2 linked regions of the Cricetulus griseus genome follow. The protein of the gene in region 2 interacts with the protein of the main gene of each other region in a pairwise test. Links are inferred from orthologs where the notes say so. Each region holds a gene or a part of one and is shown on either strand. Other genes may lie near its edges.

The links. The genes of interacting proteins can lie anywhere in the genome.
Region 1: the proteins of Hras (region 2) and Pde6d interact in a two-hybrid assay, tested with the Homo sapiens proteins (2 studies listed by BioGRID). The link is inferred for Cricetulus griseus from reciprocal best matches to the Homo sapiens genes HRAS and PDE6D.

The regions. Positions count from the first base shown.
Region 1 is NC_048595.1:438,216,556-438,221,233, reverse strand, and holds part of Pde6d (retinal rod rhodopsin-sensitive cGMP 3',5'-cyclic phosphodiesterase subunit delta), read left to right. Parts: intron 1-3,121; coding exon 3,122-3,210; exon of another isoform or gene 3,211-3,303; intron 3,304-3,945; coding exon 3,946-4,071; intron 4,072-4,678. UniProt on the Homo sapiens protein: Promotes the release of prenylated target proteins from cellular membranes. Modulates the activity of prenylated or palmitoylated Ras family members by regulating their subcellular location.
Region 2 is NC_048596.1:59,991,404-59,996,843, forward strand, and holds Hras (GTPase HRas), read left to right. Parts: upstream 1-2,091; 5' UTR 2,092-2,166; coding exon 2,167-2,245; intron 2,246-3,116; coding exon 3,117-3,268; intron 3,269-3,455; coding exon 3,456-3,634; intron 3,635-3,767; coding exon 3,768-3,927; intron 3,928-4,021; coding exon of another isoform or gene 4,022-4,103; intron 4,104-4,587; coding exon 4,588-4,707; 3' UTR 4,708-4,713; exon of another isoform or gene 4,714-4,830; 3' UTR 4,831-5,129; downstream 5,130-5,440. UniProt on the Homo sapiens protein: Involved in the activation of Ras protein signal transduction. Ras proteins bind GDP/GTP and possess intrinsic GTPase activity.

The DNA.
Region 1 (4,678 bases), on a different chromosome or scaffold from region 2:
AAATGGTTGTGAGCCACCATGTGGTTGTAGGGAATTGAACCCAGGACATCTAGAAGAGCAGCCGATGCTCTTAACCTCTACCCATCTCTCCAGCCTGAAACTTATTAATTATTTTTTTGGTTTTTTTAAATATGTATATTGATATGTGTGTGAGCATGTGAGTGCCACAGCTTACTTATGATGGTCAGAGGACAACTCTTGGAAGTGGCTTCTCTCCTTCCACTATGTGGGTACCCCAGCTGTTGGTGCTTTTACATGTGAGAGCATTTGACTTGACCTGGTCCCAGATAAGAGTCGTAATACCAAGACATGCTCTCCTCTAAGGGGAGACTTCCAGTAGCAAAGGAGTGTTGCTCTGCTCATCCTCCTTACAAACAGCAGGGAGCCTTTAAAAGAGAGGAGGTGACCTGGCTGACCCAGAGGGTGGTGTTTATAAATAGTACCCAGCACCCCCTCCTTTAAAGCCTGTCTACCTAATCCTCTCTCTAGATTGCAAGTGACTTGACCTTTGAGCCTTAAAACTTGGGGTGTTCTTTTCTCTGAAAATTCTGCTCAACAAAATGCTGTTGAAGCAAAAATGTTTTCTTTATTTTTATTTTATAATTTTACGTGTTTGGGTGTTTTACCTACATGTATGCCTGCATGCCACTTACATGCAGGACTCACTGAAGTCAGAAGAGGGCATTGGATCCCTGGACCTGGAGTTAGAGACAGTTTCAATCTGCCATATAGTGCTGGGAATTAAACCTGAGACTTCTGGAAGTGCTCTTAACTGCTAAACCATCTCTCCAGCCCCAAAGCAAAAATGTTTTCAACCAGATGATCAGTCATCAGATCTTGTCTTTCACTTTTGAAAGCCAGCTGTTCTAATTGTTTGGGGAATTTTTGTTTGATCGATTTTTATTTTAGTTTGTTTTGTTTTTGAGATAAGGCCTCTCTCACACTCAATCCTGCTTCAGCCTCCTGCATGCTAAGATTATAGGCCTGTAAATCAGTTTGTTTGCTTGTGTGCGTGCGTGCGTGCGTGCGTGCGTGCGTGCGTGCGTGCATGCGTGCGTGCGTGCGTGCGTGTGTGTGTGTCCCTCAGTTCTGAGAATGAGCCTGGGGAACCCAGGACATTGAGAAGCTAGCCCACCAGAGGCCCAGCCTGCCTTTCCACTCCTAAAGCCACTGAACTTAAAGGAGCCTTAGTTATTTCAACTCAACCACCTTTGGGTAGAACTCTCTTTTGTATTTCTCTGGTTTCATATTGTTTATAGTAGATAGTATCTAATTAACGCCTATGACTGTGGAATGAAACATTTGATATAGACACTGGCAGTTTTCCGATTAGGGTATATGAAAGAAATGAAAATTGTTGAGTTAACCAAGAAATTTTTTTTTAAGCAGGGCATTGGTGGTGCACACCTTTAATCCCAGCACTCGGGAGGCAGAGGCAAGCGGATCTCTGTGAGTTCAAGACCAGCCTGGTCTACAAGAGCTAGTTTCAGGATAGGCTCCAAAGCCACAGGGAAACCCTGTCTTGAAAAAACCAAAAAAAAAAAAAAAGAAAATGTTTTTGTTTGAATGTTTGCCTGCATGTATGTATGTGCACAATGTGTGTGCAGTGCCTGTGGAGGCCACAAAAGGGTGCCAGACTCCCTGGAACTGGAGTTACAGGCAGTTGTGAGCCACCTATAACTTCAGTTTTAAGAGAGCCAATGCCTTCTAGTCTGTCTAGTCACCTGCACTTGTATATGCAAACCCACACAGAAGCACACACACAAGTACCTAATTAAAAATAAGGTGTGGGAGAATTCACTCAGCCATTAAGAGCACAGGCTTCTTCTTGCAGAGGACCTGAGTTTAGTTCCCAGCATCCACATCAGGAAGCTCACAACCAGCTTTAACTCTAACCCCAGGGGAGATAGATACCTCTGGCCTGCAAGGACCCCCCCACACAGACACAGAAACATACATAGTTTTCTTTTTTACATTATAATTACATCATGCCCACCTTCCCTTCCTCCAAACCCTCTCATGTACCTCCCCACTTGCTCTCTTTCAAATTCATGGCCTCTTTGTCTTTTCCTTTCCTTCCTTTGGTTTTTTTTTTTTTTTTCCTCCCAAGTGCTGGGATTATTGCACTGCTCAGCTGTAGCTTTTTTTTTTTCCTCTAGGCCTGAGGCATCTTTCTTGAACCTGGGCTGCCCATTCCCAGCTCCTCTCTTGGTGAGAGTTCAAAGTAGCAAGAACCCCAGGTGTAGTAGGTGCCAAGAATGTCAGTTATTTAGAATGGGAACAATTCAGATGACAGCAAACAGAACCAATTTGGGGCCAAAGTACAGTTTTTAGCCTTTTTACTCCTTCACTTGACCCCTAGAGTGGCTTTTTCTCCACACCAAGGTCACAGCTTTCTGTATGTCAGGCCTGCCCAATGCTTCTTGTGCATTAAACAGCTGGACCCCTCTGGAGTTGGGAGGTCAGGTCCACCCGGGGATTTGCTTCAGAGCCCTGGCTCTTCAAGCAATACTGTAGTTGTGCCTACTCTTTTGATAGCCACACCAAGTGGCTCTCCTAAAGTCCTTGAAAGGTAAATATCCAAAGGAGATGGTCGTGCCTTTTCTTGGGAGAACCTGCCAATACTCAAAGGTTTCAGTAGATCATGACTTTCCAAGTTAAAGGCATTTGTGTGTGTGTGTGTGTGTGTGTGTGTGTGTGTGTGTGTGTGTGTGTGTGTGTGTGTATGTATGTATGAATTCTTATGTAAAATGATGTAGATAAAAATCTCTCTGATGGCCGGGCATTGGTGGCACACGCCTTTAATCCCAGCACTCGGGAGGCAGAGGCAGGTGGATCTCTGTGAGTTTCAGGCCAGCTTGGTCTACAGGGCAAGTGCCAGGAAGGGTCCAAAGCTACACAGAGAAACCCTGTCTAGGAAAAAAAAAAAATCTCTCTGGTGGTCTCTGCCTCTTCCTTGAGGCATCTTCTGGACTCTCCTACATATACTTACCTGCTTTCATGGGAAGTTTGACAGACTTGCTACAAAATAAACAAAGTTGATAGGAGCAAAGTGAGACCCTACCCTGCACCGTAGGGGTCACTCTCAGAGCCTTACTTTTCCTTAATCATATTTGATCAGAAATTGGATGAATCTTCGGGATGCTGAAACAGGGAAGATACTCTGGCAAGGAACAGAAGACCTATCTGTGCCTGGGGTGGAGCATGAAGGTACTTTGCAGCCCCTTGAATGCACAAGCTGTGCCCAGTGCCAGAACAGGTCCTGGCATCAGGGAGCTAAGTAAACCCACAGCCGGTAGACAGGTGAGCCCCACAGGCAAATAGAACACTTCTTTTTCCACTTTTACATTTCTTTATTTCAGTTCCCCAAATCCACTGTAGCATTGGACCACACCCAGATCTGGATGTGATGGCTCATATCTGTAATCCCAGAGCTTTGCAGATTGAGACAGGAAGATCAAGAGTTCAAGGCCAGCCTCAGCTATATAGTCAATTCAAAGCCAGTCTTGAACCACATGAGACCTTATCTCAAAAAAAAAGAAAAGAAAAGCTGTAAGCTAAGATTTCAACTTATTCCAAAGGAAAATTTTCATTTTTATCTCTCTGGAGAAAAAAAGAAAAGGTAAAGGATTTCAGTGACTTGGAATATAGAGATGACACCCACACAGCCTGCTTAGCGGATACTCACAGCCTGAGCCTGCCAGCAGCTAGTTGAGGACTATGGAGACACCAGATCTGGTGTTCCTTGGCAACATGTCACATGTGTTGATCCATTAGATCTCTGCCTTTAGCTGGAATATAATGCAGTTACCAAGGCATTTAATGTAATTTAATAAACATAACGCCTTCTCTAAGGCAGCCAAAGGAACTCCCAGGAACCTAGAGCATCGTAGCCCTGTGGTTCTCATTTACAAGGGTACCTATATCTCTCTCTCTCTTTATCAGCCCGTGTGCCCAAGAAAATCCTCAAGTGCAAGGCAGTGTCTCGAGAACTGAACTTTTCTTCTGCAGAGCAAATGGAAAAATTCCGCCTGGAACAAAAAGTTTACTTCAAAGGGCAATGCCTAGAAGGTATTCTGCTACATGTGTGCCTGGAGCCAGAGTGTAGGAGGATGGGGCAAAAGGCAGATGCTTTGAGAATGCTAATTTTATAACTAATAGAATGTCTACAAACTGGGCATCCCCAGTGAAAACAAACAAGGCTGGACACAAAAGGGGCTTTGAGCTCTCTGACACTGGAAGCTTGAGTGCCTGTACCTGTGCCTGTATCTGGTGTGGTATTACAATGTGGTCTTGGAAGAAGCAGCTATGGTGAAGTGTAGTATAGAGCTGTACCTGCACATCATAAGCTGAAACTAGTAGGGACTCCCGGCATTGAGTAGTTCTCAAATGTAAGAGAACATGTAGGCGCCATAAAGCTAAAATTCCAAAAGGCTCTCTATCTCTATTTTAGTGCACATCTTGTTACTCCTAAGGAAACACAGCTGGGGCTGGAGAGGTGGCTCAGGGGTTAAGAGCACTGATTGTTCTTCCAGAGGTTCTGAGTTCAATTCCCAGCAACCACGTGGTGGCTCACAACCATCTGTAATGTGATCTGGTGCCCTCTTCTGGCCTGCACTGTATACATGATAAATAAATAAATAAATCTAAAAAAGAAAAGAAAACACTGCCTAGCTAG
Region 2 (5,440 bases):
TAACTGACAGTTCCCCAGGCTGCCCCAGACCCTGGCTCTAGATCTTTCTTCATTAATGGTCTCTTAAATCTAGGTTCAGGCTTAAGATAGCAGACATTCCCTCCAACACCCCCTTCTCTGATTGAGGTCCCACCTGCAGGTAGCTGGCTCCTGCTGTAGGTCAAACATCCGGGCAAGGGGGCCACATGTGTCTACATGTAATACCTGTAAGAGAGAGTTAGATTAGCTTCCTGGCTATGTCACTGTGCTTGGTCTGTAGACCTGGACTGAGCTGGCCAATGTCAGCTCAGAAGCAAGTAGGTACAGGAATGGAGTGCTATTAGCTGGGGGCCTGGTCCTGAATCCCTTGTAACCATTTTAATGGGGGATAAGGTTTAGATGATGACAACGACAGTCAAGGGTCCTTCTGGGTCACCCAATGCAAACTAAGACACGGTCCTCATCCAAACTCTGCTGCTTCTTCAACTCCTAAAGGGGTGTGTGGTTCTGAATCTTCTGTAGGCCCGCCTCTCCTGAGCTCCTCCCCATACCTCTGGAGGAGTTTTTTCAGGTGCCTCTATACCTCTGGCAACAGGCTCACCTACTGTTTCTCCTTAAAGATACAGAGGTCTGTGTTTGGCTTCAGACCTTGAACTCAACAGTCTTTGGGCTGTAGTGAGAACTCTGCCCAGAACATTCTTCTTGGTCACCATCCCGTCGTCCCTGACCTCCATCCAGGTTTGGCCGACCTCTAACTCCTGCACTTCTTACCTGTCTTTCCCAGATACATTTTTGTAGTAAGAGTTACCTCTTTCCACTGCACTTCATGGTTTATTGCTTACTCAGTCCAGTGTGTCTTGCCCCAAAAGATGTAGGCCCCACTCCAGGTTTCCCCTAGCACAAGGGACATGAAGAGGCAGCTCTCACCTGAGGGGTGGGCCAGGATGCCCGAGACCAGGGGCCCAGCCCTGGACCCCTCCACCAAGGCGGTCGCTCTCTCAAGTGAGGGTTTTTTTTATTTTTTCCTCCGCGGTGGGGTTGCGGCCCTGGCGCCATGGCAACGGGGGCGGGGCCTCATTTGAATACCCAAATATTCGTGAGCCGCGGGCATCCGGGGCTGCGGCAGGATGAGCCCCGCCCCCTAGCAACGGTTGCCGGGACACGCGGCAGATCCGGTGGCAGGGTTCCCCTGAGTGGCAGGCAAGCGAGACGGATGAGAAGACGCCCACAGAGGTTCGGAGAGTTGCCCGTGAGAGGTTTCTGTCCCGCTCTGGGTTATCTGACTGCTGGCCGCATCGGCCGAGCCTAGCTCTCACCCCGGGATACACGTGAGCGCGCGTCCCCAGGCCTGCATCACCTGAGAAAGCCCTGTCGGTTTTCTAAGGAGGACGTTCTTACTCGTTTCTTTGAAATTTTCAAAAAGTTGCAAACATGTCATTTGCGTCTGACACAGATGTACCCTACTTGCATGAGTGGATGGAACATTTCATTTCGCCCTAATACCAACTTTTCTGACTTCCGGGGTCGTTCTTCAAATGGGGCACAGTATGAGCTGCTGCAGGGTTGGGACCTCGAGTTTTGGGGGAGGTAAGGGAGGGTCTTCTCCAAAGCACAAGGAGCGCGGTGTGATGGGCCGATGCTGCCTCGGGATGGGGCCTTCGCTACACCTCGGCCTCCGAGAACAGGCAGCTTGGGGTTCCGGCGGGTTCTGCCTTCCTCTGGTATCCCGCGTCCGCGGTGCTGACTGTCCCCGACGCCAGGTCCCGGTCGGAATGACCTTTCCGCTCCCAGGGCCTTTGGGCCTCTGGAGCGGCTGCAGAGTGTGGGCTCTGTGGCAGGCCCCGCGACCCAACCCGAGCGTACCCCAGTTTCTCTCCGGAGGAATCTCGGGTTCCCTCATTCTCTTCCGCACCTCGGAACTAGGCGTCACTCATTTGAGTGCAGTACCCAGGTCGCGACAGCGCTCTCTCTGCTACTCCAGGAAGCCCCGCCTAGCTGCGGCTCCTGACGGATGGGTCGCTCAGCCAACCACAACAGGTCGCGGTGAGGCGGAGCTCGACCAATCACCGACTGTCTAGAGTTGACGGACGGGGCGGAGCGGGGCGGGGCGAGCGCGGGCCCGGCCGAGTCCCCGCCGTCCGCGCCCGGCGCCCGCAGCCCGAGCCGCACCCGCCGCGGACGGAGCTCATGCGCGGCCCAGCCAGCGCCGGTCCGCGCCCCCACCCTGCCCCGGCCCCGGCCCCGGGGGCAGTCACTCCAGCAAGCGGTGAGTGCGGGCGTGGGGTGGGGCGCGGGGCGCAGGTGATCGGTGCTTCCCCTCTCCTCTCACCCCGGCAGCGTGCCTAGCGCCCGGCTGCCCGCCTCTGCGGCCCGGCCCGGCCCGCCCCGCCTGTAGCCGCCCTCCCGGCGAGGCGCCGCCCGGGCCTCCGGAGACTCTGCGCCCCGCGGCCATCACGCTCCGGCCTCGGGGCTACAAGGACACCCGCTTCAGGCCCCAATCAGGGCCTTCTGTTCCCCAGTCACCCCTCGCGCCCCTTGTGAGTCTTTCCCGCAGTCACCTGCTTCCCACACCCTCAGCCGCTTTTCCACCCCTGCTTGCTGAAGGCTCCCTGGCCTCTTGTGGAAGGTCTGTCTCAGCGGAGGGCAGGGTCCCTCTCCAGCCACCCTTCCCCCGCTGCCCGGACCGCGCCTGGCATGCAGTAGGCGCTCAGTAAATACTTGTCGGTTGCACCCACATGCCGGCGGGCCGGAGCCGGTTGTAGGCTGGCACTGGCCTGCCTGGGCACGCTGAGTCCGCCGTGGCAGGACCTGTTTTTGGGGGGTGGCCTCAGCCCTCAGGCACCTCCCGTTGAGGCTTTCTGCCTACCTAGCGACTTCTAATTTGGGTGCGTGGTTGGGAGAAGCTCTCAGCTGTCAGCCCTGCCTTGGGGGCCTCTCCCTGCTTCCTCACACAGCCATTAAGTGCTGGTGGAGGAGGTGGGGGGCCTCCCTGTCCCAGCTGGAGGTGCCACAGGTGAGTGACTGGGCCACTGTGGTGGCTGGCCTGCCTGCTCAATGCTGGTTAGGGCCTTTGGGTCAGGCATCTACTAGCAGTCTCAAGTGGCCCGGGCCTGGATAAGTGTGGCTCTCATTGGCAGGTGGGGCAGGAGCTCCTGGAGTGGCAGCCTCTATAGAAGCGATGACAGAATACAAGCTCGTGGTGGTGGGCGCTGGAGGCGTGGGAAAGAGTGCCCTGACCATCCAGCTGATCCAGAACCATTTTGTGGACGAGTATGACCCCACCATAGAGGTGAGCTCTGGCTACCTGGCTCTGGCAGTGGTCATGGAAGAGTCAGGAAGGCCCACATAGCTAGGTCTTGCAGGTGGTATGGGTCTGCTGCCACCTAATCTATCAGAACATGAGAGGTGCAAGGGTGGGTGGGCTCTGTGGATTCTCTGAGGAGAGGTGGAACGCCTAAGCTCTGTTTTTTTTACAGGACTCCTACCGGAAACAGGTGGTCATTGATGGGGAGACATGTCTGCTGGACATCTTAGACACAGCAGGTCAAGAGGAGTATAGTGCCATGAGGGACCAGTACATGCGCACAGGGGAGGGCTTCCTCTGTGTGTTTGCCATCAACAACACCAAGTCCTTTGAAGACATCCATCAGTACAGGTGAGCCACCTATGGCTAGCACAGGTGAGGAAGGTTCCATGTGCACACTGAGGGTTTATGTCTTCTGAGTGTCCTGGGTACAGCCATGCCTGTAACCTGCTAGCTGGCTCACATACTCCCCATCCCCTTCCAGGGAGCAGATCAAGCGGGTGAAAGACTCAGACGATGTGCCAATGGTGCTGGTGGGGAACAAATGTGACCTGGCTGCTCGAACTGTTGAGTCTCGGCAGGCCCAGGACCTTGCCCGCAGCTATGGCATCCCCTACATTGAAACATCAGCCAAGACCCGGCAGGTGAGCTTGCTCCCCACTCCATAGCTAGTCAGGGATTCACCCCACCCCACCCCAGCCAGGGAGCAGAGCTCATCGCCCCTCTCCCTCAACACAGGGCAGCCGCTCTGGCTCTGGCTCCAGCTCCGGGACCCTCTGGGACCCCCCCGGGACCCATGTGACCCAGCGGCCCCCATGCTGTAAGTCTCCCAGACGGCAGGGCTGTGAGGGAGGCAAGGGCCAGGGTCTGGGCTTATGCCCTGCAGTTCTGGGTTGACACAGCGCCAGGGCAGGAGGGGGTCCATGGAGAGAGCTGCCCTGAGCCAGGCCGGAGCGGTGACCCAGGAGCCTAGTCCTTCTTGTCCTCATAGTGTCCTATGAGTACCTGTTAGTTTTGAGCCCTAAGTATGGGCAGGGTGTTCAGACCTGAGCCATACTGGGGGTCTGGGAGAGTTCTGAGTCGAGTTGCTCTGAAGGATATTCCAGAGTGAGCCTACTTAAGGAGAGTGGTCCTGTGCCTTTTAGATGTGCAGAGCCCAGCTCCCTATTTGTGTTGGTTGTGCAGCCGAGGAAGGGTTGTTTTCCAGGGTTGGGGTGTTACCTGATCCAGGCAGGGAGTTTCTTACCCAAACAGCACCCCTTTCCTCCTTGGAGTCCCCTCTGATCCAGTCCCTCTGTTCCCAGGGTGTGGAGGATGCCTTCTACACACTAGTACGTGAGATTCGGCAGCATAAACTACGGAAGCTGAACCCACCCGATGAGAGTGGCCCTGGCTGCATGAGCTGCAAGTGTGTGCTATCCTGACACCAGGTGAGGCAGGGACCAGCAGACATCTGGGGCAGTGGCCCCAGCTAGCCAGATGAACTTCATATCCACTCTGATGTCCCTGCTCCCCCCCATCCTGCCAATCTCCCTGCCTGAGGTCAGTGGTGTCCTTTGTGCCCGTCCCGGCACAGGCTCAGGACGTGGAGGTGCCGGATGCAGGGAGGAGGTGCAGACGGAAGGAAGGAAAGAGAAGGGAAGGAAGGAAGGAAGCGATGCTGGAGCCAGTCCAGTCCAGGGATGGTGGACAGAGGTGACCAAGACCTTCGCATGGACAATTGGAACAGACTGTGTCATGAACTGTCCCTATTGCCACTGGCACCCCAGTCCTCAACCCCTCTCAGTTCCCTTCGGGTGCCTATGGGGCACAGGTTGAATTACAGTAAATTATTTGATGGTCTTGACTTGTCTCTGGCTGGGAGCAGGAGGTGTAGTGCCTGTGGCCTCACAGAAGATACTGGGAACCTGAGATTCATCATCTGCCTTCTTCCTGTTTCTGAGAAGAGGATGGGGTGGCTAGCCTGGGACCCTGGACTGTATGGTCCTTCCCTTCTGCCTGCCCCAGCTGTCTTGTGTTTCCTGCAGAAAGCTATATGCAACACAAGAATAATCAGGTGATCTAAAGAGTGACCTATTGTCCTTTAACTAATGGGAGGAGGAGGGCTTAAGAGTAAGGGGGCATCTCTTGTCTCCAGCAGGAAACACATTTCCTGCA